4 linked regions of the Anolis sagrei genome follow. The protein of the gene in region 1 purifies or fractionates together with the protein of each later gene. This does not show direct contact. Links are inferred from orthologs where the notes say so. Each region holds a gene or a part of one and is shown in the gene's direction. Other genes may lie near its edges. The genes, in order: YBX1, MRPL3, CHCHD2 and LARP1.

What was found.
Region 2: the proteins of YBX1 (region 1) and MRPL3 purify together in Homo sapiens (affinity purification with mass spectrometry; 3 studies listed by BioGRID and IntAct, with this or other methods). This does not show direct contact. The link is inferred for Anolis sagrei from reciprocal best matches to the Homo sapiens genes YBX1 and MRPL3.
Region 3: the proteins of YBX1 (region 1) and CHCHD2 purify together in Homo sapiens (affinity purification with mass spectrometry; 3 studies listed by BioGRID and IntAct, with this or other methods). This does not show direct contact. The link is inferred for Anolis sagrei from reciprocal best matches to the Homo sapiens genes YBX1 and CHCHD2.
Region 4: the proteins of YBX1 (region 1) and LARP1 purify together in Homo sapiens (co-immunoprecipitation; 3 studies listed by BioGRID and IntAct, with this or other methods). This does not show direct contact. The link is inferred for Anolis sagrei from reciprocal best matches to the Homo sapiens genes YBX1 and LARP1.

What each region holds. Positions count from the first base shown.
Region 1 is NC_090033.1:17,323,919-17,331,212, forward strand, and holds the start of YBX1 (Y-box-binding protein 1), read left to right. Parts: upstream 1-4,288; 5' UTR 4,289-4,303; coding exon 4,304-4,724; intron 4,725-7,294. UniProt on the Homo sapiens protein: DNA- and RNA-binding protein involved in various processes, such as translational repression, RNA stabilization, mRNA splicing, DNA repair and transcription regulation.
Region 2 is NC_090026.1:79,266,287-79,273,326, forward strand, and holds the start of MRPL3 (large ribosomal subunit protein uL3m), read left to right. Parts: upstream 1-4,038; 5' UTR 4,039-4,097; coding exon 4,098-4,207; intron 4,208-7,040.
Region 3 is NC_090031.1:27,717,292-27,724,254, forward strand, and holds the start of CHCHD2 (coiled-coil-helix-coiled-coil-helix domain-containing protein 2), read left to right. Parts: upstream 1-3,959; 5' UTR 3,960-4,103; coding exon 4,104-4,153; intron 4,154-5,772; coding exon 5,773-6,022; exon of another isoform or gene 6,023-6,142; intron 6,143-6,565; coding exon 6,566-6,710; intron 6,711-6,963. UniProt on the Homo sapiens protein: Transcription factor. Binds to the oxygen responsive element of COX4I2 and activates its transcription under hypoxia conditions (4% oxygen), as well as normoxia conditions (20% oxygen).
Region 4 is NC_090022.1:81,925,973-81,933,504, reverse strand, and holds the start of LARP1 (la-related protein 1), read left to right. Parts: upstream 1-4,511; 5' UTR 4,512-4,702; coding exon 4,703-5,198; intron 5,199-7,532. UniProt on the Homo sapiens protein: RNA-binding protein that regulates the translation of specific target mRNA species downstream of the mTORC1 complex, in function of growth signals and nutrient availability.

The sequences.
Region 1 (7,294 bases):
ACCCCATTTTCCTAGTTTCGAACAGACCTCACAACCTCTGGGGTTTATTTGTCGTGTCAGAGCAGCCAGTCCATTATATTACATTTCTAACAGAACAAAGCAAACAAACAGAAAAATACACAACTTGTGAGTTTGGTAACTGGCTAAATGTCCTTTGACCACTATCTGGCCACTTGGAGTGCCTCTGGTGTTGCTGCAAGGAAGTCCTCCATTGTGCATGTGGCGGGGCTCAGGGTGCATTGCAGCAGGTGGTCAGTGGTTGGCTCTTCTCCGCACTCACATGCCGAGGATTCTACTTTGTAGCCCCATTTCTGAAGGTTGGCTCTGCATCTCGTGGTGCCCGAGCGCAGTCTGTTCAGCGCCTTCCAAGTCGCCCAGTCTTCTGTGTGCCCAGGGGGGAGTCTCTCATCTGGTATCAGCCATTGGTTGAGGTGCTGGGTTTGAGCCTGCCACTTTTGGACTCTTGCTTGCTGAGGTGTTCCAGCGAGTGTCTCTGTAGATCTTATAAAACTATGTCTAGATTTAAGTCGTTGACGTGCTGGCTGATACCCAAACAAGGGATGAGCTGGAGATGTCTCTGCCTTGGTCCTTTCACTATTGGCTGCCACTTCCCGGCGGATGTCAGTCAGGTGGTGCAATACCGGCTAAACAGTGTAATTTCTCCAGTGGTGTAGGGCGCAGACACCCTGTGATAATGTGGCATGTCTCATTAAGAGTCACATCCACTGTTTTAGTATGGTGAGATGTTTTCCACACTGGGCATGCATACTCAGCAGCAGAGTAACTCAGCAGCAAGGTCAGATGTCTTCACTGTGTCTGGTTGTGATCCCCAGGCTGTGCCAGTCAGCTTTTGTATGATATTGTTTCTAGTACCCACTTTTTGCTTGATGTTCAGGCAGTGCTTCTTGTAGGTCAGAGCACGGTCCAGAGTGACTCCCAGGTATTTGGGTGTGCTGCAATGCTCCAGTGGGATTCCTTCCCAGGTGATCTTCAGAGCTCAGGATGCTTCTCTGTTCTTGAGATGAAAGGCACATGTCTGTGTTTTAGATGGATTAGGGATCAGCTGGTTTTCCCTGTAATAGGCAGTAAGAGCACCTAGAGCTTCAGAGAGCTTCTGTTCAACCATCTCAAAGCTCCCTGCTTGAGCGGTGATGGCACGATCATCAGCATAGATGAAACTCTCTGTCCCTTCTGGCAGTGGCTGGTCATTTGTGTAGATGTTGAACATGGATGGAGCAAGCACGCTCCCCTGAGGCAGGCCGTTCTTCTGTTTCCGCCATCTGCTTCTCTGGTCCTGGAACTCAACAAAGAAGCTCCTGTTTGGTAGCAGGTTTCCTATGAGGCAGGTGTCTGCCATAGATGTGGGTGAAACGCCTGGAGAGAATGCTTCTGGAACATGGCCAGACAGACCGAAAAACCTACGAGAACCCAATGATTCCGGCCACGAAAGCCTTCCCAATACAGATAGATAGTAAAGGGGAGGGATTTTAAAGGCTCCTTTTCCTGGCTGCTCCGTGCCATTCCCTGTTAGTGTATTCAACCCATGTTTATGCCAATGGATATTATAGCTTATATTATGTTATTATAATTATACATTACTTTATAATTATACTATATTCATTATTCTAGACTACATTATATATTGCAAATATATTATATTTATATTATAAATACGTATATATATTAATATTATTATAAATTATTTTATTATTTTATACTATACTCATTAGAGATTATATATTATATTACATTATATTTTAATTTATATATTGTATTTATAGATCATTTTATAATTATACTACATTATAATAGATTATATACTGTCTAGATCTAGGGAAGTCATGCTCCCCATGCTCTATTCCGCTTTGGTTAGACCACACCTGGAATATTGTGTCCAATTCTGGGCACCACAATTCAAGAGAGATATTGACAAGCTGGAATGTGTCCAGAGGAGGGCGACTAAAATGATCAAAGGTCTGGAGAACAAGCCCTATGAGGAGCGGCTTAAGGAGTTTAGCCTGAGGAAGAGAAGGCTGAGAGGGGATAGGATAGCCATGTAAAATATGTGAGAGGAAGCCACAGGGAGGAGGGAGCAAGCTTGTTTTCTGCTTCCTTGGAGACTAGGACGCAAGGGAACAATGGCTTCAAACTACAAGAGAGGCGATTCCACCTGAACACGAGGAAGAAATTCCTGACTGTGAGAGCCGTTCAGCAGTGGAACTCTCTGCCCCGGAGTGTGGTGGAGGCTCCTCCTTTGGAAGCTTTTAAGCAGAGGCTGGATGGCCATCTGTCAGGGGTGATTTGAATGCAATATTCCTGCTTCTTGGCAGAATGGGGTTGGACTGGATGGCCCAGGAGGTAACTATGCTATATTCATTATTATAGATTATATTATATATTATAAATATTAATATATTAAATATGTTAATATATAAAATTATAGGTTATTATATTATATACAATATTTTCTCATTGTTTTATTATATTTTCGTTACAGATTATTATGTTATTATATATTCTCATTATACATTATTCTATGATTATTATTATATATTATTATTCTATGATTATTCTATATTATTCTTGGTTTCCCCATCTCTGGCCTTGAGAGGCTGAGCCAAGGGAAGCATGGCTTGGAAGGCCGCCTGTGGCCACGTGCTCCCCGCAGAGAAGCAGTGGCAATCCAACTTCCGCAGGCGTGGCTTCGTTGGAGCTCTCGCCCAATCAGCTGCGAGGTTCCAGGCGGAGCTTTCGACGGGCGGGGCCAAGGAGAGAGGAAGAGCCAATCGGGACAGTGGGACCTCTTGATTGGCATTGAGTGCCGCCCAATGGAATCACCCGCGGGAGGGCAGCCAAGGCCAGAGCACAGGGAGAGGAGGGATTGGCTGACTGGCAATGGGTGGCAGCCAATCGAGTGGCCGAATTAGGGATTTGATGGGCGGGATCAAGGGGCAACGTCGAGCCAATCGGGGTGGCGGGTGCCCTGATTGGCTTCACGTGCCGGCCAATAGTCGAGCGGGTGTTTGCATGGGCGGGTCCAAGGAGCGACCTAAAGCCAATCAAGGCGGGGAATTGGTATAGGTGGGTCCTATCAGGCAAAGCCAATCGAAGTGCGGGACCCCTTTGATTGGCATAAAACGACGGCCAATAGGAGTCACCGCGGGAGGGCAGCGCATGGGCGGGTGGGTCCAAGAAGGGACGTGGAGCCAATCAGAGTTGCGGACTGCTTTGATTGGCATTGCGTGGCCGCGGGAGAACAGCCCATGGCCAAGCGAGGATTTTGACAGGCGGGGCTAATGAAACCCTTGGAGCCAATCAGAGCGGCAGACCGCTTAGATTGACATTGCATGCCAACCAATAAGAGCCACCGCAAGAGGACAGCCCATGGCCGAGGGATTTTTTTGGTAGGCGGGACTAAGAAACGTCGTGAAGCCAATCGGAGTGGCGGGCCGCTTTGATTGGCATTACGTGCCGACCAATAAGAGTCACTGCGCGAGTCAAGCCCATAGCCGGGCGGGAATTTTTTGTTAGGCGGGGCCAAGGGACGTGTGGAGCTAATCCGAGCAGCGGACCGCTTTGATTGGCACTACGTGCCGGCCAATAAGAGTCAGTGCGCGAGTGAGCGGGGATTTTTTGGTAGGCGGGTCCAATGAACGTGTACAGCCAATCAGAGTAGCGGACCGCTTTGATTGGCATTAAACCCCGACCAATAGGAGTCACTGCGGGAGTAAAGCCCATAGCCGAGGGGGGATTTTTGTTAGGCGGGGCCAAGCAACGTGTAGAGCCAATGAGGATAGCGGAACGCTTTGATTGGCATTACGTGTCGACCAATAAGTCACAAGCCCATAGCCGAGCGGGGAATTTTGTTAGGCGGGACCAAGCAAAGTGTAGAGCCAATCAGAGTAGCGAGACGCTTTGATTGGCATTATATGTCGACCAATAAGAGTCACAAGCCCATAGCCGAGCGGGAAATTTGGTTAGGCGGGGCCAAGGAACGTGTGGAGCCAATCAGAGTAGCGGACCGCTTTGATTGGCATTAAGCCCCGACCAATAAGAGTCACTACGCGAGAAAAGCCCATAGCCGAGCGGGGATTTTTTGTTAGGCGGGGCCAAGGGACGCGTGGAGCCAATCAGAGCGGGGGAACCTTTTGATCGGCATGGCAAAGCGACCAATCAAAGTCCCTGCAGCCACGGAGGGTCGTGGAGCCAATCAGAGCGGGGGAGCCCCCGAAAGGGGGCGGGGAAGGGCGAGGAGCGGGCGAATGGGAAGGGCGGGCGGCTTGAGCGGCAGCGGGGCGGGCCAATGGGGCGAGGGGGAGGCGGGGGCGGGGCGTGCGGGGTGGCTAAGCCCTCGCGCGCCGCCATTGTGGGCCAGTTCGATCGGGATCGGGAGCGGAGAGCGAGCCCGGAGCCAGGGAGCAGAGACCCGCCCGCCCGCCCCTCGAGTCACCATCCGAAGGAGAAGCGGGCGAGCCGTGCCGCCATGAGCAGCGAGGCCGAGACCCAGGCGCCGCCCCCGCCGCCCTCCAACGCCTCCTCGTCTTCCTCTCCGCCCGCCGCGCCGCCCGAGCCCGCCGCCCCCGCTTCTCCCGAAGCCAAGCCCAGCGGAGGAGGCGGCGGCAACAACAATGGCAATGGCGGCGGCAATGGCGGGAATGGCAATGGCAGCAACCACCACCACGGCTCCGCAGCGCCCCCTGCCGGCGGGGACAAGAAGGTCATCGGTGAGGCACTGCGCAGGCGCGCCCCTTCCCCTCCGGCCTGCCCTGCCCCTTCCCGGGCTCCCATTGGCTCCTCTCTGCGCCCCCCGCGCCTCTGATTGGCTGGCTGCCCCTGAGCGCGTGCAGCAGCCGTTGGAGGAGGAGGAGGAGGGGGCGGCCTCGCCTCGTTTTCCCTTCGCCTCCAGCGCGCGTGCGCCAAAGCAAGGAGGCGTGGCCCAGGTGGGGGAGGGCGGGGTCTCGGGAGGGGGGAGCCGCCGGTGCGCGCGCAGCCTTTGTGTGCGTGTGCCTCCATGTGCGCGTGCGCGGGATCTGGGCAGAAGAAAGGCTTCGGGCCTACTGCTAGGCCTCACATCTCGAGCCAGCCTTTGGCCTCTCTCTCTCTCTCTGGCTCTTCCTTTCCTCCCTTATTTTCCCTTCTTTTCCTCAGACTTTCCCCCTTTCCTTTCTCTTCTCTCTTTTTTCTTCCTTCCTTCCTCACTCCCTGTCTTTTCTTTTTCTTTCCCTCTTTCATTTCTCCCCTCAGACTTTTCCCCCTTTTCATTTCTCTTCCTTTTCCCTCTCATCCTTTCCTTTCTCCATTTCTCTCTTCTTCCTTCCTTTCCCCAGACTTTCCCCCCTTTCTTCCCTTTCTCTTCCCTCCTTTTTCTTCCTTCCCTTCTCCCTCCCTTTCTCTTTTTCTTTCCTTCTTTCATTTCTCCCCTCAGACCTTTCCTCCTTTCCTTTCTCTTCCTTTTCCCTCTCATTCTTTCCTTTCTCCATTTCTCTCTTGCTTCTTCCTTCCTTTCCCCAGACTTTTACCCTTTCTTTCCTTTCTCTTTCCTCCTTTTCCCTTCAGACTTCCTCCTTTCCTTTCTTTTCCTTCCTCCCTTCTCCCTCTCATTCTTGCCTTTCTCCATTTCCCTCTTCCACCTTCCCCTCTTCTTTCTTCCTTTCCCCAGACTTCCCCCCTTTTTTTTCCTTTCTCTTCCCTCCTTTTTCTTCCTTCCTCCCTCCCTCCCCCCTTTCCTTCTCTTTTTCTTTCTCCCCTCAGACTTTCCCCCTTTCCTTTCTTTTCCTTCCACACTTCTCCCTCCCATTCTTTCCTTTCTCCATTTCCCTCTTCCACCTTCCTCTCTTCTTCCTTCCTTTCCCCAGACTTTTCCCCTTTCTTTCCTTTCTCTTCCCTCCTTTTCCCCTCAGACTTTCCTCCTTTCTTTTCCTTCCTCACTTCTCTCTCTTTCTTTCCTTTCTCCATTTCCCTCTTCCGCCTACCTCTCTTCCTTCTTCCTTCCTTTCCCCAGACTTTCTTCCCTTCTTTTTCTTCCTTCCCTTCTCCCTCCCTTCCTCTTTTTCTTTCCTTCTTTCATTTCTCCCCTCAGACTTCCTCCTTTCGTTTCTTTTCCTTCCCCCTTCTCCCTCTCATTCTTTCCTTTCTCCATTTCCCTCTTCCACCTACCTCTCTTCCTTCCTTTCCTCAGACTTTTCCCCTTTCTTTCCTTTCTCTTCCCTCCTTTTTCTTTCTTCCTTCCTCACTCCTCCCTCACTTTCTTTTTTTCTTTCCTTCTTTCATTTCTCCCCTCAGACTTTTCCTCCTTTCCTTTCTTTTCCTTCCTCACTTCTCCCTCTCATTCTTTCCTTTCTCCATTTCCCTCTTCCACCTACCTCTCTTCCTTCCTTTCCTCAGACTTTTCCCCTTTCTTTCCTTTCTCTACCCTCATTTTTCTTTCCTTCTTTCCTCACTCCTCCCTCCCTTTCTCTTTTTCTTTCCTTCTTTCATTTCTCCCCTCAGACTTTCCCCCTTTCCTTTCTCTTCCTTTTCCCTCTCATTCTTTCCTTTCTCCATTTCCCTCTTCCACCTTCCTCTCTTCTTCCTTCCTTTCCTCCTTTCTTTTCTTTCCTCCCTTCTCCCTCTCATTCTTTCCTTTCTCCATTTCCCTCTTCCACCTACCTCTCTTCCTTCCTTTCCTCAGACTTTTCCCCTTTCTTTCCTTTCTCTTCCCTCCTTTTTCTTTCTTCCTTCCTCACTCCTCCCTCACTTTCTTTTTTTCTTTCCTTCTTTCATTTCTCCCCTCAGACTTTTCCTCCTTTCCTTTCTTTTCCTTCCTCACTTCTCCCTCTCATTCTTTCCTTTCTCCATTTCCCTCTTCCGCCTTCCTCTCTTCTTCCTTACTTTCCTCAGACTTTCCCCCCTTTCTTTCCTTTCTCTTCCCTCTTTTTCCTTTCTTTCTTCCCTCCCTTATCTCGAAGCTGGGCATGGCTACTACTACTAGGCCTCACAGCTGTGCCAACCTTTGGATTTGAACAGTTTCCTGCCCTCTCTCTGTATCTATTTATTTATACAGAGATATCTCTATATCCGCTGGCCTGGGTTTAGCTTTTCTCCGTGGCACATGATTACGTTTTCTCTTCCTTCCTCACTTCTCCCTACTTTTCTTTCTCTTCCTTAGGGCCAAACTTTGTATAGTTTCCTGGCCTCCATCTATGTCTTCTGGCCTGGGTTTGGCTTTATTCTGTGGCTCTTTCTTTCCTTTCTCCTTCTTTGTTCTTTCTTCCTTTCTCTTCCCTTCTTTTTCCTCTCTTCCGCCTTGGTCCCT
Region 2 (7,040 bases), on another chromosome or scaffold:
CTTGCCATACATCAAGGGAACCACTGACCGCATAGGGAAGATGATGAGGAAACACAACATACAAACTATCTACAGACCCACCAAGAAAATCCAACAAATGCTACGTTCAGCAAAGGACAAGAGGGATCCTCTCACTTCTGCAGGAGTCTACCGTGTACCATGCAGCTGTGGACAAGTCTACGTAGGGACCACCAAACGCAGAATTGCCCAAACACGAATCAAGGAACATGAAAGGCACTGCAGACTACTTCAACCAGAGAAGTCAGCCATAGCAAAGCACCTGATGAACCAACCTGGACACAGCACATTATTTGAGAACACAGAAATGCTGGACCACTCTCACAACCACCATGTCAGACTACAAAGAGAAGCCATTGAAATCCACAAGCATGTGGACAATTCCAACAGAAAGGAGGAAATCATGAAAATGAACAAAATCTGGCTACTAGTATTTAAAAAAACTCTAAAATTAGAACAGCACAACAACAGAGAGGAAACAAACAAGGACATCTAATCACCTCTCAACAAAAGATTGCTCTAGGCACTGCCAGGCCATTATATGCTAATCAAGGTGGTCAGTTGAAACATTCACACCTAGCTCCAGCAGACAAGAGTCCTTTGTCCCACCCTGGTCATTCCACAGATATATAAACCGTTTTTCCTAGTTCCAACAGATCTCACTACCTCTGAGGATGCTTGCCATAGATGCAGGCAAAACGTCAGGAGAAAATGCCTCTAGAACATGGCCATATAACCCGAAAAAAACCTACAACAAACCAGACTGTTGATGTATTGTTTTAATTCTGATTTATGTTTAATTGTGGTTTTACTATTGTAAAATTGCTTGTATTGGCATCGTATCAGTGCTCAACGTAAGGCATTGAATCTTGCCATTATTTATGTGTAAACCGCTTTAAGTCCCCTCAGGGGTGAGAAAGGCAGTATATAAATACTGTAAATAATAAATAAAAATAAATTATCTGAGTCCACACTGCCATATATTCCAGTTTAATGCAGATAATGTGGGATTTTATTCAGCTGTGTGGAAGGGGCCTGGAAGGGCCTTCAGATATTCCAGTTCAAACATTGTGGGATTTTCTGCCTTGATATTCTGGATTATATGGCTGTGTGGAAGGGCCCTCAGGCCACACTTCCTATATTTCAAAGCAAATAATGTGGGATTTTATTCAGATGTGTGGAAAAGTGGATTAGGAATCAGATGATTTTCCTAGATATTCATTGAAAAACTAATAGCAAAATGTGCTGCAGGATGTCCTGCAAAACCAAAGTTTCTGCAGTTTAATAAACCATGTCCATGTTTTATTATAGAACCAATTAGGAAATGACCTTTATAACTTGGGAACAAAAATCGTATTACATAATGTTTTACTTACTTAGGCGATCCCTCGTTGGCCGAGTAGGATAGTCTTCCAGGATCAGTATTCTTGTGGGTCCGTAGGTGACTGTGGAGCCCTATTCTTGATCTGCATCTTCTCCCGCAGTGAGGGCATTGGTTTCCAGGTGGAAGGCAGTCCCGGTCGGGGTTGGCTTGACGCGCCTTCCTCTTGGCACGTTTCTCTTTCACTCTTTCATTCGTGCCTCTTCAAATTCTACAGCACTACTGGTCACAGCTGACCTCCAGCTGGAGCGCTCAAGGGCCAGGGCTTCCCAGTTCTCAGTGTCTATGCCAGAGATTTTAAGGTTGGCTTTGAGCCCATCTTTAAATCTCTTTTCCTGTCCACCAACATTCCCTTTTCTATTATTGAGTTCGGAGTAGAGCAACTGCTTTGGGAGACGGTGGTTGGGCATCCGGACAATGTTGCCGGTCCAGCGAAGTTGATGGCGGAGGACCATCGCTTCAATGCTGGTGGTCTTTGCTTCTTCCAGCACGCTGACGTTTGTCCGCCTGTCTTCCCAAGAGATTTGCAGGATTTTCCGGAGGCAGCGCAGATGGAATTGTTCCAGGAGTTGCATGTGACGTCCGTGGACAGTCCATGTTTCACAGGTATATAGCAGGGGTGGGAGGACAATAGCTTTATAAACAAGCACCTTGGTATCCCTACAGATGTCCCGGTCCTCGAACACTCTCTGCTTCATTTGGAAAAATGCTGCACTCGCAGAGCTCAGGAGGTGTTGAATTTCGGTGTCAGTGTTGACTTTTGTGGAGAGGTGGTTGCCAAGGTAGCGGAAATGGTCAACATTTTCTAATGTTATGCTATTAAACTCTGGTTCCGTCTGCCACTGTTAAAAGCCTTGGGGTTGTGTTGGATTCATCGCTGACGATGGAGGCCCAGATCACTGCCATAAGTAAGCAGGCCTTTTTTAATCTTCGCCAGGCAAGGAAATTGGCATCCTACCTTTCGGTAGAAGCATTGGCAACAGTAATCCACGCAACAGTCACCACGAGTTTGGACTATTGCAATGCCTTATATCCTGGCCTTCCGAAGTCAACAACCCAGAAGATTCGGATGATTCAAAATGTGGCAGCCAGACTGCTAGCGGGATCATCTATAAGATCCCATATTACACCGATTCTGCAACAACTGCATTGGCTACCAATAGAACATCGGATCTCTTACAAGATAATGATCCTGACATTTGGAGCTCAAAATGGCCAAGGACCTTTATATCTTAGGGACTGCCTCATTCCTTTTCCCCATCAGTGGTCACCTCGATCCACCCAGGAAAATCTCCTCTACATACCGGGTCCTAGGGAGGCACATTTGGAAGCTACAAGGCGTAGAGCTTTTTCGATCTATGCTCCAATTCTGTGGAACTCATTGTGTGACGGCGCGTGTGGCGCCTCATATATTTAGAACTGTTTGTTGCAGGATTTTAAACTGCCATTTTATTTCTGTCTACCTTGTACATGTATAGTTAAATTTCATTGGTTACTATAGCTGTCAATTTATTGTTGTTGTGCACCAATTGGTTTGTTTCCCCAGTTCAGTTGTTTAGGCTCCGCCCCTTCCAAGGGAGAAAGGGAAGGTTTCTCCCTCACCTTTTTTTACCTCAGTAAAAGACTCATTGGATGGACGTGTCCATAAGCTTGGCCCAAAGCCCCTGGTCAAGGCATTTTTTACTACCAGTTCTTAGGTTTTGACCCCTGAGTCTTATTCTTTATGTTCAAACCTCCTGAACGAAATTGCGAAGACCTCAGGCACCTTCATTCCAGTTCTTTGGCACCATAGGAAAGTCTTGTCCTTCAGTTTAGGCCACTGAACTGGGGTTGTGGTTTGCTCCGGCATCCATAGCCATTGAGAGAGAGGGAACAGGAAAGGCTTCTCAGCTTATTACTCCTAGGACCCTGGGCTTTAGAGTTATAAAGTGTTTTTCCCTGTTGAAACATAAAGTTTGTGCCTGAGAAAGAAAACTAATTATCATCAATAAACACCATTTCGAGTCACTTGTGTTCTGGTCCTTGGGAATTCCAGTTTCCCTAAAGTGAGGGCAAGAAGCAATCCCCTAGGGAAAGCAGTCACGTCCATGCCTCTTTCTCTATAGCCCCAGGCACGACGGCACACATTGCCTCCATATATTAGAGCAATGTCGGAGTTGCGACCTTTTGTAAAGGCGCTCAAGACTTGGCTGTTTGGTTGTGCATTTAAGTAACCGGATCAAATTTTGCCATAGTCACTGCTGAATGTTTTTATGATGTTGAATGTTTTTATGTTGAATGTTTTATATTGCGTATAAGCTATTTTAAATTGTAAGTCGCTCGGAGCACTTTGGTGGAGAGCGACTAATTAAGAAATAAAGTGATGATGATGATGATGATGATGATAATGTTTTATGACAGTGTGGATGGGGCTGAAGACAATACTGGAAGGCTTTTGTACTCTTAAGCAGTGTTTTTCAAGTTTCGGGCCTCAAGGGGGTTTTTTGGACTTCAGCTCCCAGAATTCCTCAGTATTGGCCAAGCTGGCAAGGGCTTCTGGGAACTGAAGTCCAACCCCGTTCAATGTTTGCCCGGGACCGCAGAATGGGGCTGATAGGAACCAAAGGCGCCCGGAACTAACGTTCGCGTGCGACGAGGGAAGGCTTTGGGAGTCGGACGGCCTTCTTCCTCGGCAACGAGCGCTGCTGCCGGTGCTGTCATGGCGGCCGCGGGGCTGTTGTGCCGCCTGGGGAGGCACATGTTGCCCAGAGGGGCCCTGGCTTCGGCTCGTGCGGCAGTGGAAGTCTCAGAGGCCGGGCTGAGGAGCCGGTAGGGGGTTTATTATCTCCTTGAGAGCGGGTGGTCTGGCTCTTCCGTGGAGGCCTTGTCGGTTCTCTGCCTTCCTGCCTTTTGAAAGCAGGGAAAAGGAAGCAAGCCTGGTGTGCAAGGCGCTTGAATCCCAACAGAGTGCTGTTTCAGGGAGCATCGATGCAGTCTGGCACCACTATTAACTGCCCTGGCTCGTGGGAGTTGTAGTTTCACAAGAACTTGAGCCTTCCCTGCCCAAGAGGGTTGGTGCCTTACCAAGTAACAACTTCCAAGATTCCACAGCGTTGAGCCATGGCGCTTAAAGTGGTCTCAAACTAAAGGCATTCTGCAGTGTAGAGCAGGCATGGTAAACTTTGGCCCTCCAGGCGTTTTGGACTTCAACTTCCACAATTCCTAACAGCCGGTAGGCTGTTAGGAATTGTGGGAGTTGAAGTCCAAAACACCTGGAGGGCCGAAGTTTACCATGCCTGGTGTAGAGGCATCCTAAGGCCCCTTCCACACAGCTGAATAAAATCCCACATCTGCTCTAAACTGGAGTATACTGGAGCATACAACCCCCCTGTTGCGCCAACTCCACTGGCTACCGATCTGCTACCAGGCTCAATTCAAAGTGCTGGCGTTGGCCTTTAAAGCCCTAAACGGTTCCGGCCCAAGCTACCTATCCAACCGCATCTCTGCCTATGAACCCACCAGGACTTTGAGATGTTCCGGGGAGGCCCTGCTCTCGATCCCGCCTGCTTCTCAAGCACGGCTGGCGGGAACGAGAGGATAGGGCCTTCTCAGTGGTGGCTCCTCGGCTGTGGAACGCCCTTCCTATGGACATTAGACTACCACCATCTCTAATGGTATTCTGCAAAAAAGTGAAGACCTGGCTGTTTGAGCAGGCGTTCAAATAATTAGTGCAATGATTGGTTAATGAACACTGGAATGGAACAGTGGATGACGAATCTGGAACATGTTCTTAATGATGAGACGACAGTGAATGGGTATTGTAGTAACTGTTTATTAATTGTGTAATGTGTTAGGTTGTTAGCTGTTTTTATACTGTAGCACTGAATTTTTGCTGTTCGTATTTGTTGTGAACCGCTGTGAGTCGCCTTCGGGCTGAGAACAGCGGTATATAAGTAAGGCAAATAAATAAATAAATAAATAATAACTTTATTTATACCCTGCCACCATCTCCCCAAGGGACTCGGAGCGGCTTACATGAGGCCAAGCCCAACAACACATCAGAAACATCAAGCAATAATAAAAACAACAAGCAATAAACAAAATAAACAATACAATTAATATATCTCACAAGTAGACAATAACACACAAGAATTTAAAAACCTATGGCTGGGCGAGATGTAATAGTTAAAATCTTTAAAAATAAATGCTGGACATGAACAGAGGATGTATCTATTAGGAGGGTTTTAAATCAAAAGTAAAGAGCAACCCAACAGGTAATTAAAGTGCTTCTCAGAGTATTTGCAGGGAATTGTTTCCTTTATTCAGGGAAGCCACATTTTCAGGCTCCTCCTAAAGACTGCCAATGTGGGGGCTTGTCTGATATCCTTGGGGAGTGAGTGCCAGAGTAGAGGGGCAACCATGGAGAAGGCCCTCTGCCTCGTCCCCACCAATCATGCCTGCGAGGGAGGTGGGAGCGAGAACAGGACCTCCCCAGATGAACAAAGAGATCGTGTGGGTTCGTACACAGAAATGAGGCCATGCAGGTAGACGGGTCCCAAACCATTTAGGGCTTTGTAGGTCAGAACCTGCACCTTGAATTGGGATCGGAAAATGAACAGCAGCCAATGGAGCTCCTTAAACAGGGGGTTGACCGCTCCCTGTAAGTCGTCCCAATAAGTAGCTTGGCTGCCACCCACAGGACCATTTGAAATTTCTGAGCCATCTTCAAGGGCAGCCCCACGTAGAGTGCATTACAGTAATCCAGTCTGGAGGTGACTAAGGCGTGGACCACCCAGGCCAGATCAGACTTCATATGTCAGTGTAGATAACCCAGTTCAGATATTGTGGGATTATGTGCCTTGATATTCTGGGTTATATAACTCTGCGGAAGGGCCCTGAGTCAGGGTACTTTGTTTTTCCATTCAGGGGCTGAAGAGGTTTTTTCCCCAACAGTTATTGTGTGTCTTCAGATGATTCCTATCACAGGCATTTTCAAACCAATATTGAAGAAAGTGGGTTTGCAGTGCTGATCACTACAAGCAGTCCCCAAATTACGAACATGATGATATCTGTAGGTTTGTTCTTAAGTTCAGTTTGTAGGCAAGTCAGAACAAGTACATCTTTAAGTGTACTTCCAGCCAAATTGATACCTATATTAGCTTTGGATAACATAGGATGGGGTTAACACCCAGGCCTGTAGCCAGAGGTGGCTAAGGTTTCTTAACCCCCACTCTACCCCACCCCACCCCGCCATTCCCAACACATGCTTCAGATCAAAAAGAAAACTCTGGTTTACTCATGAAGTGGTTAATCAGTTAATTCACCCCTTGTGGTGTTTGTTTTGCTGACTGTGTACCCTCTTCAGAAGATTTCACCTCACTTTCTGTCCCTGTGAGCATTGGGTTTTGAAAGAAAAATAGCTTGCTGTGGAAACAAGGATTGGAGATACAAGGCTTACATGGCCGGAATCACTGGGTTGCTGTAAGTTTTTCGTGCTGTATGGTCATGTTCCAGAAGCATTCTCTCCTGATGTTTTGCCTACATCTATGGCAGGCATCCCCAAAGGTTGTGAGGTCTCCCAACCTCTGAGGATGCCTGTCATAGATTTATTTATTTATTTACAGTATTTATATTCCACCCTTCTCACCCTGCAGGTGACTCA
Region 3 (6,963 bases), on another chromosome or scaffold:
GGGGATTATTAATTACGATTATGATGCCCTGCTTTTCTATATAGATAGAGACCAAAAGTGGTTTCTGTCATTATTGTTAACATGCCTTCCTTCCCTTTCCCAAAATATAATGAAAGACTGCAATGTGTCTATATGGCCACTGGGTGGCGGCAAAGAGGCGCCTTCCCTTTCATTATTGCTTATGGTGGCGCTCTTGAGGTGCAGTGCTCGCTGTGTCCACAGGAGGGCGGCAAAGGGCCATACGTGAGGCGCAGCATACAGTGTCCTAATAATATAATGAATGTCTGCAATGTCTGGATTTGGCCACTTGATGGCGGCAAAGAGACGCCTTCCCATTCATTACTGCCTATGGCTCAGCTGTCTGCATAGAAGCCTATGGTGGCGCTCTTGAGGTGCAATGCTCGCTGTGTCCACAGGAGGGCGGCAAAGGGCTATACATGAGGCGCAGCATACAGTGTCCTAATAATATAATGCCGACAGGGAGCTCTGGCGTGGGCTGGTCACGAAGAGTCGGAGACGACAACGAATGAACAATAATATAATGAATGTCTGCAATGTCTCGATTTGGCCACTTGATGGCGGCAAAGAGACGCCTTCCCATTCATTACTGCCTATGGCTCAGCTGTCTGCATAGAAGCCTATGGTGGCGCTCTTGAGATGCAATGCTCGCTGTGTCCACAGGAGGGCGGCAAAGGGCCATACGTGAGGCGCAGCATACAGTGTCCTAATAATACATAATGAATGTCTGCAATGTCTCGATTTGGCTACTGGATGGCGGCGAAGAGGCTCCTCTCAATGCATAGCCTATGGCTCGGCTGCCTGCATAGAAGCCTATGGTGGCCCTCTAAAGGTGCAGTGCTCGCTGTGTCCAGAGGAGGGCGGCAAAGGGCCATACATGAGGCGCAGCATACAAAATGTCATAATAATAAAATGAATGTCTGCAATGTCTCGATTTGGCCACTTGATGGCGGCAAAGAGGCTCCTCTCAATGCATTGCCTACATAGAAGACTATGCTGGCTCTCTAAAGGTGCAATGCTCGCTGTGTCCACAGGAGGGCGGCAAAGGGCCATACATGAGGCGCAGCATACAAAGTGTCCTAATCATATAATGAATGGCTACAATGTCGATTTGGCCTCTTGGTGGCGGCAAAGAGACACCTTCCATTCATCACTGCCTATGGCCCAGCTGCCTGCATGGAAGCCTATGGTGGCGCTCTTGAGGTGCAATGGCCGCTGTGTCCACAGGAGGGCGGCAAAGGGCCATACATGAGGCGCAGCATACATAGTGTCCTAATAATATAATGAATGTCTGCAATGTCTCGATTTGGCCACTTGATAGCAGCAAAGAGACGCCTTCCCATTCATTATTGCCTATGGCTCGGCTGCCTACATAGTAGCCTATGGTGGCCCTCTAAAGGTGCAGTGCTCGCTGTGTCCACAGGAGGGCGGCAAAGGGCCGTACATGAGGCGCAGCATACATGTTGTTGTTCATTCGTTCAGTCGTCTCCGACTCTTCGTGACCTCATGGACCAGCCTACGCCAGAGCTCCCTGTCAGCCGTTACCACCCCCAGCTCCTTCAAGGTCAGTCCAGTCACTTCAAGGATGCCATCCATCCATCTTGCCCTTGGTCGGCCCCTCTTCCTTTTGCCTTCCACTTTCCCCAGCATAATTGTCTTCTCTAGGCTTTCCTGTCTCCTCATGATGTGGCCAAAGTACTTCAACTTTGTCTCTAGTATCTTTCCCTCCAGTGAGCAGTCGGGCTTTATTTCCTGGAGGATGGACTGGTTGGATCTTCTCACAGTCCAAGGCACTCTCAGCACTTTCCTCCAAGCAGCATACATAGTGTCCTAATAATATAATGAATGTCTGCAATGTCTCGATTTGGCCACTTGATGGCGGCAAAGAGGCTCCTCTCAATGCATTGCCTGCATAGAAGCCTATGCTGGCTCTCTAAAGGTGCAATGGCCGCTGTGTCCACAGGAGGGCGGCAAAGGGCCATACATGAGGCGCAGCATACGTGTTGTTGTTGTTGTTCATTCGTTCAGTCGTCTCCGACTCTTCGTGACCTCATGGACCAGCCCACGCCAGAGCTCCCTGTCGGCCGTCACCACCCCCAGCTCCTTCAAGGTCAGTCCAGTCACTTCAAGGATGCCATCCATCCATCTTGCCCTTGGTCGGCCCCTCTTCCTTTTGCCTTCCACTTTCCCCAGCATCATTGTCTTCTCTAGGCTTTCCTGTCTCCTCATGATGTGGCCAAAGTACTTCAACTTTGTCTCTAGTATCTTTCCCTCCAGTGAGCAGTCGGGCTTTATTTCCTGGAGGATGGACTGGTTGGATCTTCTCACAGTCCAAGGCACTCTCAGCACTTTCCTCCAAGCAGCATACATAGTGTCCTAATAATATAATGAATGTCTGCAATGTCTCGATTTGGCCACTTGATGGCGGCAAAGAGGCTCCTCTCAATGCATTGCCTGCATAGAAGCCTATGCTGGCTCTCTAAAGGTGCAATGGCCGCTGTGTCCACAGGAGGGCGGCAAAGGGCCATACATGAGGCGCAGCATACGTGTTGTTGTTGTTGTTCATTCGTTCAGTCGTCTCCGACTCTTCGTGACCTCATGGACCAGCCCACGCCAGAGCTCCCTGTCGGCCGTCACCACCCCCAGCTCCTTCAAGGTCAGTCCAGTCACTTCAAGGATGCCATCCATCCATCTTGCCCTTGGTCGGCCCCTCTTCCTTTTGCCTTCCACTTTCCCCAGCATCATTGTCTTCTCTAGGCTTTGCTGTCTCCTCATGATGTGGCCAAAGGACTTCAACTTTGTCTCTAGTATCCTTCCTTCCAGTGAGCAGCCGGGCTTTATTTCCTGGAGGATGGACTGGTTGGATCTTCTCGCAGTCCAAGGCACTCTCAGAACTTTCCTCCAACACCACAGCTCAAAAGCATCAATCTTCCTTCGCTCAGCCTTCCCTAAGGTCCAGCTCTCACATCCATAGGTTACTACAGGGAATACCATGGCTTTGACATACATACATAGTGTCCTAATAATATAATGAATGTCTGCAATGTCTCGATTTGGCCACTGGGTGGCGGCAAAGAGGCGCCTCGCTATGCATTATTACAGGCTCAGCTGCCTGCATGGAAGCCTATGGTGGCGCTCTTGAGGTGCAATGCTCGCTGTGTCCACAGGGGGGCGGCAAAGGGCCATACATGAGGCGCAGCATACAAAGTGTCCTAATAATATAATGAATGTCTGCAATGTCTCGATTTGGCCACTTGATAGCAGCAAAGAGACGCCTTCCCATTCATTATTGCCTATGGCTCGGCTGCCTACATAGTAGCCTATGGTGGCCCTCTAAAGGTGCAGTGCTCGCTGTGTCCACAGGAGGGCGGCAAAGGGCCGTACATGAGGCGCAGCATACAAAGTGTCCTAATAATATAATGAATGTCTGCAATGTCTCGATTTGGCCACTTGATGGCGGCAAAGAGACGCCTCTCAATGCATTGCCTATGGCTCGGCTGCCTACATAGTAGCCTATGGTGGCCCTCTAAAGGTGCAATGCTCGCTGTGTCCACAGGAGGGCGGCAAAGGGCCATACATGAGGCGCAGCATACAAAGTGTCCTAATAATATAATGAATGTCTGCAATGTCTCGATTTGGCCACTTGATGGCGGCAAAGAGACGCCTCTCAATGCATTGCCTATGGCTCAGCAGTCTGCATAGAAGCCTATGGTGGCGCTCTAAAAGTGCAGTGCTCGCTGTGTCCACAGGAGGGCGGCAAAGGGCCATACATGAGGCGCAGCATACAAACCGCCCCGCCCTTTACCAAAGGGATAGCTCCGCCCATTCTGACCATTGCAAAGCCAAGATTAAGTTCTGCGCTTGCGCACTGACAAAGCATTCGAGAGGGGAGCCGTCAAAGTGCGCACGCGCAGTCGGCTTTTCGACCTTCGCGCGAGGAGACCGGAAGTTGCGCGCAACCACGCCGCCGGAAGCGGAAGGAAAGATCGAGAAAAGGGACGACGGAAGCGTAAGGAGGTCGCTGTGGTGAAAGGCGAGGACGAAGAGAGTTACGAAGGAAGGCCGCGGTTCTTGATTCATTCACCATGCCGAGGGGAAGCAGGAGCCGGACCTCCCGCATGGCGCCCCCTGCCAGGTGAAGCAGCGCGGGGGCTGATGGGATTTGTAGTTCCCCACTCCACACACTGCACTGATTCCACTCTCTGGAGGAGAACAATCCCTAGAGTGAAAAATAATAATATCTTATATTACAATATATTATTTTATATATTATTATTAATATATATTATATAATATCAATAATATATTATATTAATATTATATCTTACAGTATAATATATATATTATAATATTGATATTAAAGTAATGTTATATAGGTTGCTATAGGTTTTCTGGGCTTTCTGGCCATGTTCCAGAAGCATTCTCTCCTGACGTTTCGCCTCCATCAATGGCAGGCATCCTCAGAGGTTGTGAGGTCTGTTGGAAACGAGGCAAGTGAGGTTTCTATATCTCTGGAATGATGTCCAGGGTGGGAGAAAGAACTTTTGTCTGCTTGAGGCAAGTGGGAAGGTTGCCATTGGCCAGCTTGGTTAGCATTGAATGGTCTCGCAGCTTCAAAGCCTGGCTGGTTACTGCTTGGGGGGGGAATCCTTTGTTGGGAGGTGTAAGCTCACTTTTATTTATTTATTTACAATCTTTATAGCCTGCCTTTCTCAGCCATACGGCGACTCAAGGCGGGTTACAGATTGGGACAATTCGATGTCAGGCATTCATAAAAGTATTGTCGAAGGCTTTCATGTCTGGAATCACTAGGTTCTTGTAGATTTTTTCGGGCTATAGGGCCATGTTCTAGAGGCATTTCTCCTGACGTTTCGCCTGCATCTATGGCAAGCATCCAGCAGTGAGGTCTGCTGAAATTTCCAACAGACCTCACTACCTCTGAGGATGCTTGCCATAGATGCAGGCGAAACGTCAGGAGAAATGCCTCTAGAACATGGCCCTATAGCCCGAAAAAACCTACAAGAACCTATCCATAAAAGTGCTATTAGCGCGAGCTCACACCGCTCCCAGGATTCAAACCTGCGACCTTTCGATCAGCAATTTTAGCAGCTCAGCGGTTTAACCCACTGTGCCACCGAGGGCTCCAATAATATTACTACTAATAATAATAGAGTTGGAAGAGACCCCAAGTGCCACCCAGTGCAAACCCCTTCTGATAGGCAAGACGACACAATCAAAGCATTCCCGACAGTTGACCATCTAGCCTCTGTAATAATATGTTACTACTACTGCTGCTATTAATAATAATAGATTGCTGTGAGTTTTCTGGCCTGTGTTTATGTGTTTTATATTGGTGCTTGTTGTAAACCATCCGAATCCCTTTGGGGAGATGGGGTGAGCTATTTATATGGGGCCCCTGGAAACACGTGGGTTAAAGTACTGAGCTGCTGAACTTGCTGATCAAAAGGTCAGCAGTTCGAATCCAGGAAGGGGGGGTGAGCTCCCGCTGTTAGCCCCAGTTTCTGCCAACTTAGCAGTTCAAAAACACGCAAATGTGAGTACATCAGTAGTACCACTTCTGAGGGAAGGTAATGGCGCTCCATGCAGTCATGCTGGCCACATGACCTACAAGGTGTCTACGGACAATGCAGGCTCTTTGGCTTAGAAATGGAAATGAGCACCATACCCCAGTGTCAGACACGACTAGACTTAATGATCTGCGACCTGATGGCTTTCTCTCTTTTGCCTTTGTAGCCGTGCTGCACCACCCCTGCGCTCGGCTCCTCCGCCAGCCGCTCGCTCTTCCGTCCCTGCAGCCGCCCCCCCTTCAGCCATGGCCTCACCGGCCCCCCGCCAGCCAGGCCTCATGGCCCAGATGGCCACCACCGCAGCTGGCGTCGCGGTGGGCTCAGCCGTGGGGCACACCTTGGGCCATGCCATGACTGGGGGTTTCGGAGGAGGAGGAGGTAGCGCTGAAGTCGCCAGGCCCGACATCACATACCAGGTGAGAGCTGCTCCCTTGACCAGAGAAGGTTCATACTTATGACCACTTCTGCATGTCCTTTCCAGTTGCTGTTTGTATTGTTTCCTGGATCTCAAGGTGTTTGGGAGAGGAATGAAGGGACTAGAATGAGGGAAAATAATAATAAAAATTAACAGCCAAAATACAGTTCAGTCAAAAGTCTCGTATTCTCAGTGGAGCGAAAGGGAACAAGGACCCAAAAGGAGGGGAGAATTCAAGCCAAGGGACAAGCTCAACCTAACATCAATAGGTACCGCAAAAAGGATGACAGTGATAAGAGAGGCACCAAAGAGAAAGGATGAGGCAAAATTCAGAGAAAAAGCTGTTGTGCGCATGCACAGAATGTTGGCTATAAAAACTAGACTGTCCCTCAGTGTGGCACTTTCCACCCAGCAAGGTGTCATGATCAAATAAATGCGTTGCAACAATCAGTGTTCAATTGGCTCAAAGTACTCTGAAGGCTTTGGGCTAATTAGCGATAGAGGGAATCTGCTAATGGGAGTCATGGTCTTCTCTGTTCCCCAGGAGCCCCAGCCCGCGGCCCAGTCCTCCCAGTTCAGCCCTTGCCAGTATGAGATGAAGCAGTTCCTGGAATGCGCCCAGAACCAGGCTGACCTCAAGCTCTGCGAGGGGTTCAGCGAGGTCCTCAAGCAGTGCCGCTTCGCCAATGGTGAGTCATGCTTTCACGTCATTCAAACATAAAATGGGGAGAGAGCAGAGGGGAAGGCCAAAGAGCTAGAATCAACCACAGAGGCCATCTAGTCCCACCTATGACTCCAGGAGAGCCGTAGCATTTTTATCTCAGGCAAGGAATGCCATTGCCTCCCTCTGAAGTAATACTTCCATCCTCTAGTCTTCCCATCCTATTATTACTATCATTGTCATCTTCCTTGTTGGCCTATTATTATTATTATTATTATTAT
Region 4 (7,532 bases), on another chromosome or scaffold:
TCTCACATTCAATTATGTGAGAAATGCCATGCGTGCTGATATGTTATGCTCTTGGCATAGTTTTACTATAAAGTGAGAATGAGGTCTTGGTGGCTCTGATCACAAGCTATTATAAAGGCATTATAGGTTGAGTAAGTATCCTTTATCAGGAAAACTGAAATTCTCCAAAATCTAAAATTATCTCCATGGGTGGCTGAGATAGTGACCTCTTTACATTCTGGCAGTTCAATGTGCACAACATTTGTTTCATGCACAAAATTATGTGCCTTCGTCTGTAAGTCGCCCTGAGTCCCCCTTGGGGTGAGAAGGGCGGGGTAAAAGTAATTGAAATAAATAAATAAATAAATGTATAAAATTACCTTCAAACTATGTGAATAAATGTAAAATTTAAAAAAAAATCAAGCTGAAACCATGGATCCAGAGGGTTGCCTCTATCTTAATTCAAGAGGAAACAATTGCTTCTCAAGTTATGAATAAAATGGAATGCTGGATGTGTGTTTTCTTCACTTTACCAAAAGGCATATGGAACTGGCCATTCTACACTCATAGCACTTATAATACATATGAAATGGCAGCCACAGAGAATGGCAGTTTTTTAAAACAACATTCTGGGAAGTGCTTACTCCTCCTTCAAAATTTCCAGCAAAGAAGGCTCTACTATAATATGTGTCTTATGGTCACACTATAGATTACTCTTGAATCCTATGGAATTAAGAAAACAGAAACTGTTTCTGAGGCCCCTTCCACAGAGCTCTATATACTAGGATCTGATCCCAGTTTAACTGTTTATCCCAGATTATGTGGCAGTGGAGACTCATACTGTATAATCCAGTTCAAAGCAGATAACCTGGGTTAAATCCTGGGATATAAGGACAGCGTAGATACAAGGGCCAGGCTTAGTACAGCAGGCTAAACTGCTGTGCTGCAGAAAAATCAGAATGTTGGGGTTGAGCACCCGCCATTAGCCCCAGCTCACCTGCATACCTAGCAGGTCGAAAGCAGAAATGTAATCAGATAAAATAGGTACCGCTTTTAGCAGGGAGGCAATTAAGGCACCCTTAAGGACATTGATTGGAGGAAATCTCCTTGGCATGGATGATGGAAAGACAGCATCCTCCTCCCCATGGCTGGAGTCCAAAATGCCAGAAATAAGATGAGTAAAATGGGCTTTACCTCTGTTTGTGCTGACTGTCCTTGTTAATTGTATAATCAGCATTGAATGTTTGCCATATGTGTGTTCTGTAAGCCACTCTGAGTCCCCTTCGGGATGAGAAGGGTGGGTATAAATACAATAAATAAATAAATAAATGTAGAAAGGGCCTGAGGCTATATAAAATCCAAATTCTACACACTGTATAAAATCCAGATTATCTGCTTTGGACTGGGTTATATGGCAGTGAAGACTCAGATAATCCAGTTCAAAGCAGATAATGTGGATTATCTGATTTGATAATGATTATATGGCAGTGTAGAAGGGGCTTACGGTGTAATTTAAAAAAAGGGGGGGGGGAAATAGTACGTATGTCAGGTGTTATTGGAGGCTGGGCACTCACTGAGTTGCAAGTTACCTGTTGTTGTTTTTTTTGCATATTAGAAAAAAATGCTTAAGAATTGCCATTGTCTTGCTTTATATGTTTCTTTTCAGGTTTTTACTAACAAAAACGGGGTCCTGTCATTTATGAGACATCCCATGTGTTTGCTTGTTCATATAAGTAACAAAAATGCCAAGTCATGCTCAGGCCTTGTTTATGGTGATCAGTGATGCCTACAAAAGTTTACTTGTTAAGTGTTATCATAACTCATTATGGACACAAGAGGTGAAACGGTCACATAAAGAATCCTTTCATACTACACATAGTCATACTGCCAATTACACTTTAACCACCATAGTTCCTTCTTATGAAATCCTGGGATTTGCAATTTAGGGAAGACTATTTTGACCTCTCAGCTGGAGAGCTCTAGTATGGCTGATCTGAAATGGGTTTAAACAATTGATTTTAGAGATAACTGATTTTAGTGTTTGTGTATATTGTGTATATTTATAGTTTATTTTGTTTCGGCATTGAATGTTTGCCGTATATATGTTGTGCTGCACCCTGAGTCCCCCTTGGGGTGAGAAGGGCGAAATATAAATCCTATATATAGTGCCTCTGTCAAGACTACTAATGCAAACCTTCCTTCATTTTTGTATAAGAATAAATACATCTACATTTGGGGTGCCACTTTTTATGTTGCATCCCTCTCTTGGCAGGGGTGTGTCTGGAAGAATAATGTAAATTTCTTGCTCATCGTGATACATTTCTGTGTATTCTTCCTGATATTGTTTCAGACGCTAGCTTTGCCATGAAAAAAATGCACACAATTTTACCACATCAGACACAAGGTAATATGAAAAGAAATCTCTTAATTAAAAAGTTTCTGATTAAAAAAATAAACGTGTTGCATACAGCTATGCTGGATCTATCCTCAGGGCTGTTTGACCTGAAATGTCTGTTGTTTGAAACTGACACATACGTCCATATTGCTGTGTATACAAGAGTTCAGAAACCACTGCTGATTTCTAGTCAGTGGTGTCTTGAATTAGCCGGTTTCTCTCCTTTCTCCTCTCTCCTCCCCCCTGCACTGCTTGACATTTACAGTGTAAGTTCCTTGGAAGCAGTCTTTGCGAAAGGCCATGTAACTTGAATAGGCAGCGAGGCAGTCCAATAGCTAGGCCTGGGATGGCCCATATTCAAATCCCCAGTCAGGAGGGATGGCTGTATGTATGGGTGAAACGTAGGGGAGAAGCATGTGGGTCTCATCACACTTGAGCATTTTCCCACTTCAAATGGTGTGACTGCCTCCTGCAAAATGCTGGGGTTTGTAGTTTAGGAGGCAGTCACAGCATTTAAAGTGGATTGACGTGTGATGAGGTTCTCTCAGAAAAAAAATATACCACACATATAAATAAGATAGGTTGAGGAAACTACAGGATGTCCCTAATGCACTTTATGAGAGAATTAGAATTGTCTGCACACCCTTTTATTTCCAAAATATTCATTCTACCTCACCTGGACATGCCCAGCATTTTTAGAATTTTAACCATTACATTTGGCCCTGCCACAGGTTTTTAATATTGTCGTGTTTTTTGTTAATGTTCTGCTTTGTTATGAGTTATTTATTTTTGCATTGTATTGTTCTTGTTGTTTTTACTAATGATGTACTTTGGGCTCGGCCTCTTGTAAGCCGCATCGAGTCCTGCCTGCGGGAGATGGTAGGGTTTATTGTTATTATTATTATTATGTGCACATCTGTACTTTAGAATTTTTATGTTAATGCTATTGGCATCTTGGGAGCTGTAGTTTTACGAGGTCTCTAACCTTCTCTGCCAAAAGGTATCTCACCAAAGGGGAGGGAAAACTTTGGATTCAAATGGAGGCAACTCTCTTTGGTCAAAAGACTCGGTATAAACATTCTTTTGCTGTCAAGACAACACAAAACTAGAGGAGCCTAGAGCTGAAAGAAGAGTAGGCCCTGCCTCCTTCCCACAGGCCGAGGCCTACCCGCTGAGAGACGAACAGTAGACTGAGCCCACTGCAGCTTAGGCTACCCACATCTTTTCCTCACTTGGTCCTTTAGTTTTGTGAGATGCTTGGCCTTGTCCGCCACAATAAACTATAACTCCCGGGGCTCCCATACCATCGAGTCCTGGCAGTTAAAGCGGTGTCAAACTGCGCTAATTCCGCCGTGGTTGCTCCACGTTCCCTTCGCAGGCTGGTACTCGAGAGAGAGAGAGAGAGAACGAGCGAGCACCAACCCGGCCCTGCGACCCTGAGCACATGTTTCTGCCTGGAGCGGGGTGGGCTCCTTCCAAGGAAACAGGCCCCACGCGATCGATCGGGTAGTGGTGGCTTCAGGCCGACCTTGTCCGTGTTTTTGTTTGATTTGGAAGTCAAATAGAACTCTCCAGCTCCGCAGGGGGAGGCCTTTTTCCCCCCTTTTGGGCTTTGTTCTGTTGGTTCTCTTATCAGAGTCAGTAGGCCCTCCGTGGAGGTGAAAGCCAGCACTTCGCTCCAGAAGGCCCTTTGGCAGCGATGAAGTTTGAAGGCAAGGCTCCGCCTCCTCCACCACCACCACCTTTCTCTCTTCCCGAGCGGCGACGCTGCCCCTTTAAGGAGCGTCTCCCTATGACACCCAGCACGCGCCGGCCCCGCCGGGGCTCGGGCTCGCGCCGCCTCTCCTGGGCGCGCTCGTCATGCGAAAGGGAAAGAGCGTGAGCGTGCGTGTGTGCGCGCGCCTGCCTGCGTGAAGGCGTCTGTGCGTGTGCGTGTGTTGTATGCGCGCGCGCTCCCTCCTTCCCCGGGCCTGGATAACGCGGGCGGAGCTGGCTGCGCGCGCGCGCTCGCTCTGGCCGGGCCAGTCGCGTGGTCTCCTTGCTTCTCCATATTGCTGCTGCTGCGGCGGCGGGGGCATTGGCATTAGAGGAGAACCGGGGGAGCGGGAGGGGAGGGGGGCGGCGAGGCGGGGGTTGGGCTTCAAAGGGAGGGGGGCGTGAGAGCAGGAAGCCGGCGTCTTGGGGCTCCCGCTGCGCCCTTTCACCGAGAGAGGGTTGGAAAGAAAGCTCTCGGGCGAGGCGGGCTTGCAAAGGAGGGAGGAGGGGGAAGCAAGCAAGCAAGGAAAGGAAGAAGTGAGGAAGGGGGAGCGGGCCGGCTCCGGGGCGCAGATGGCGACCCAGGTGGAGCCCCTCCCGCCGCCCAGCCCTCTGCTGCCTTCCGAGGAGCACGGCGGCGGGGGCGGCGGCCTCGTCCTCAAGAAGTCCCCGGGAGAGAAGGGAGAGCAGCGCCTCGCGCCCCGCGGAGAGAAGGAGGCCGACGGCGGTGGCGGCGAGGAGGAGGAGGGCGGCGGCAAGGAGGGCGGCGGGCCCGACAGCTGCTGCAGCAGCAAGGAAGGCGAGCCGCATCCGCGCCGGAACGGGGCCCTCCTGAAGCCGCCCAGCATCAAGCAGCAGAAGGAGGAGAGCAACAACCAGGAGAAGGAGAACCTCCTGCAGCAGCGGAGCAGCAGCGAGACCACCACCAGCAGCAGCAACAGCAGCTCCAGCGGCGAGGAGGGCGGCGTCGGGCGCAAGGAGTTCATCGAGGCCCCGCCGCCCAAGGTGAACCCCTGGACCAAGAACGCCCCCGCCGCGCTCGTCGCCCTCAACGGGCAGTCGCCTCCAGGTGGGTCCACACGGGGGCGATTGGGGGAAGACAGCCAAATAAGAGCCTCCCTGGCCTCCTCCTGCAAGATGGTGACATTCCCTCGCCCGTCAAACTCCACCCCGCCTTTGTCCGGCGGCGCCCACCCTGCCCTCCTCTTCTTCCTCCCCCTCCGCGACCCTTATGGAAATCTTTTGATAGAGTATCAGAAGTGGGAGCCAAAGGGGAGGAGATGGGGCCATGCGGGCTTGGCGTGATTCAGACATCTTGGAGGGAGGGGGGAGGGAGAGAGAATGGGGCGGGTTCGCAGCCCGAACAGCGCCCCCTTCCTCCTCCTCCTCCCCCTTTCCTCGTGTTTGGGAGCCCTTCCTCCTCCTCTTCCTCCTCCCAGATTCGCCATTAGAGGTTAAGCTGTCCCACCACGTTTTAACGAGCGCGTGGGGATTCCCCTTCCTGCTCCCTTCCCTTTTATTCCCCACGCTGCTTCCTTTCCTTAAATATAGGTAGAGCCCTCGTTAAATGGCGTTGGGGCGGAGACTAAGAAGAAGAGGGGGAGGGGAGGCACCACGACAGCGGAGGGAAGGGGCTTGCAATTCGTTTCCAATCCATTTTGTGTGTGTGTGTGGTGTATTTTGCGCTTTTTGGAGACACGATGAGTGTATTTTGCGCTTTGGGGCGAGAGCGGGCGGGTCTGCGCGCGAGGGCCATGTGCCTTGGCGACTTCCTCCTGCGGCTTTAAGTAAAGGGAGGGAGGGGGCGTCGGCAGTTCTCCCTCCTTCCCTCTCTCTTCCCCCCTCCCTCCCTCCCTTGGTTCCTTTCCTCCCTCCGCAGCGCTCGAGGCGTCCGCGTGCAGGCGGCGGTTTGAGCGTTCCGTCGCCTCCTTCCTAACGCTCCTCCGCCCAGTGGGGCGCCCCCCCCTCTGTCCCTGTGCGCGCGCCTGTGCGTTCTGAGCGTCCTTCTCCTCCCCCCTCCCCCTTTCCCTTCCTTCCTTCCTCCCTTTTCTTCCCTTTCCCGGCATTCCTCTGCAGTAAAGGCAACGTGGTTTTCTTTCGGAGCGAGCATGTGACGAACACTCTCATATAGCCGGGGCCTGGCTTGTTCTTTGGACCTGGTAGCCGCTTCTCTCTCTGCTCTCCCCCCCCCCCCACAGTCCCAAATCCTGGGGGGGGGGGAGAGTTTCCCCACCCCCCTTTAGGGCCCCTTCGACTCTGAGGGCGGAGGTGGCAGGGAAGCCTACGTCAAGGGCGGGAGGAGGAGGAGGGGAGGTTGGTTGGAACGGCTAGGCCTCTCAGTTGGGCGAGTGTCTCAGCTAACGCTTTCCGCGTGGGCTGCCGACTTCTAACTGTAACGTATTGCCGTTCGTTTTGCGGGGAGGGCGGTTTTCCCGCAGCGGGGCCGCGCGCCCTGCCCCCCCCCCCACCTTCCCACCCTTCCTGTCTTGGGGGGAAGGGAAAGGAGGTGAATGCAGGACAAAGGTCTTCCAAACGTCCACGTGGGCTTAGCCCTATGTAGGTTAACTCAACAGGGCTTTTCCATTTTGTTTCTATTGAGTCAGTATTTAACACTGAAAGTCGTTTTTATTTACCTAGGGCCTGAATCAAATCCCACATTATCGACTTTGAACTGGAATATATGGCAGTGTGGGCTCAGACTGAATAGCAGAATCAAATCCCACATTATCTACATTGAACTGGAATATATGGCAGTGTGGGCTCAGACTGAATATCAGAATAAAATCCCACATTTTCTACTTTGAACTGGAATATATGGCAGTGTGGGCTCAGATTGAATAGCAGAATAAAATCCCACATTATCTACTTTGAACTGGAATATATACATATGGCAGTGTGGGCTCAGATTGTAGTGATCCTTCAAGATAACCCAGTTCAAAGCAGATTTTCTGTCTTGATACTCTGAGTGTGTGGAAAGGCCCTAGTTTGTTATACTCTGCCCTCCCTATCCACGGATCCAATGACCCACAGGTTGAAAAATACTACCCCTTGCTTTGCCCATTTTGTATAAGGGACATCATTTTTCTAACCGCTTCATCATCCATGTATCAACCGGAGTCATGGAGCCATACCCCAGAGCACACCACTGTAATTGGAGTTCAGTGGGAGGGCAGTGCCATTTTGTGAGTAGGGTTGATAAGCTGTGTGAGGCTTATGCTCACTTCAGTGTGAATGTAACAGCAGTCACCTGCTCACCATTTCGCATAAATAAAATCAGGACTTGAGGACATGCTAGTGCAGGCATGGGTGTTTTGGACTTCAGCTCCCACAATTCCTAACAGCTGGGAGTTGTGGGAGTTGAAATCCCAAAACACCCAGAGGGCCCAAGTTTGCCCAGACCTGT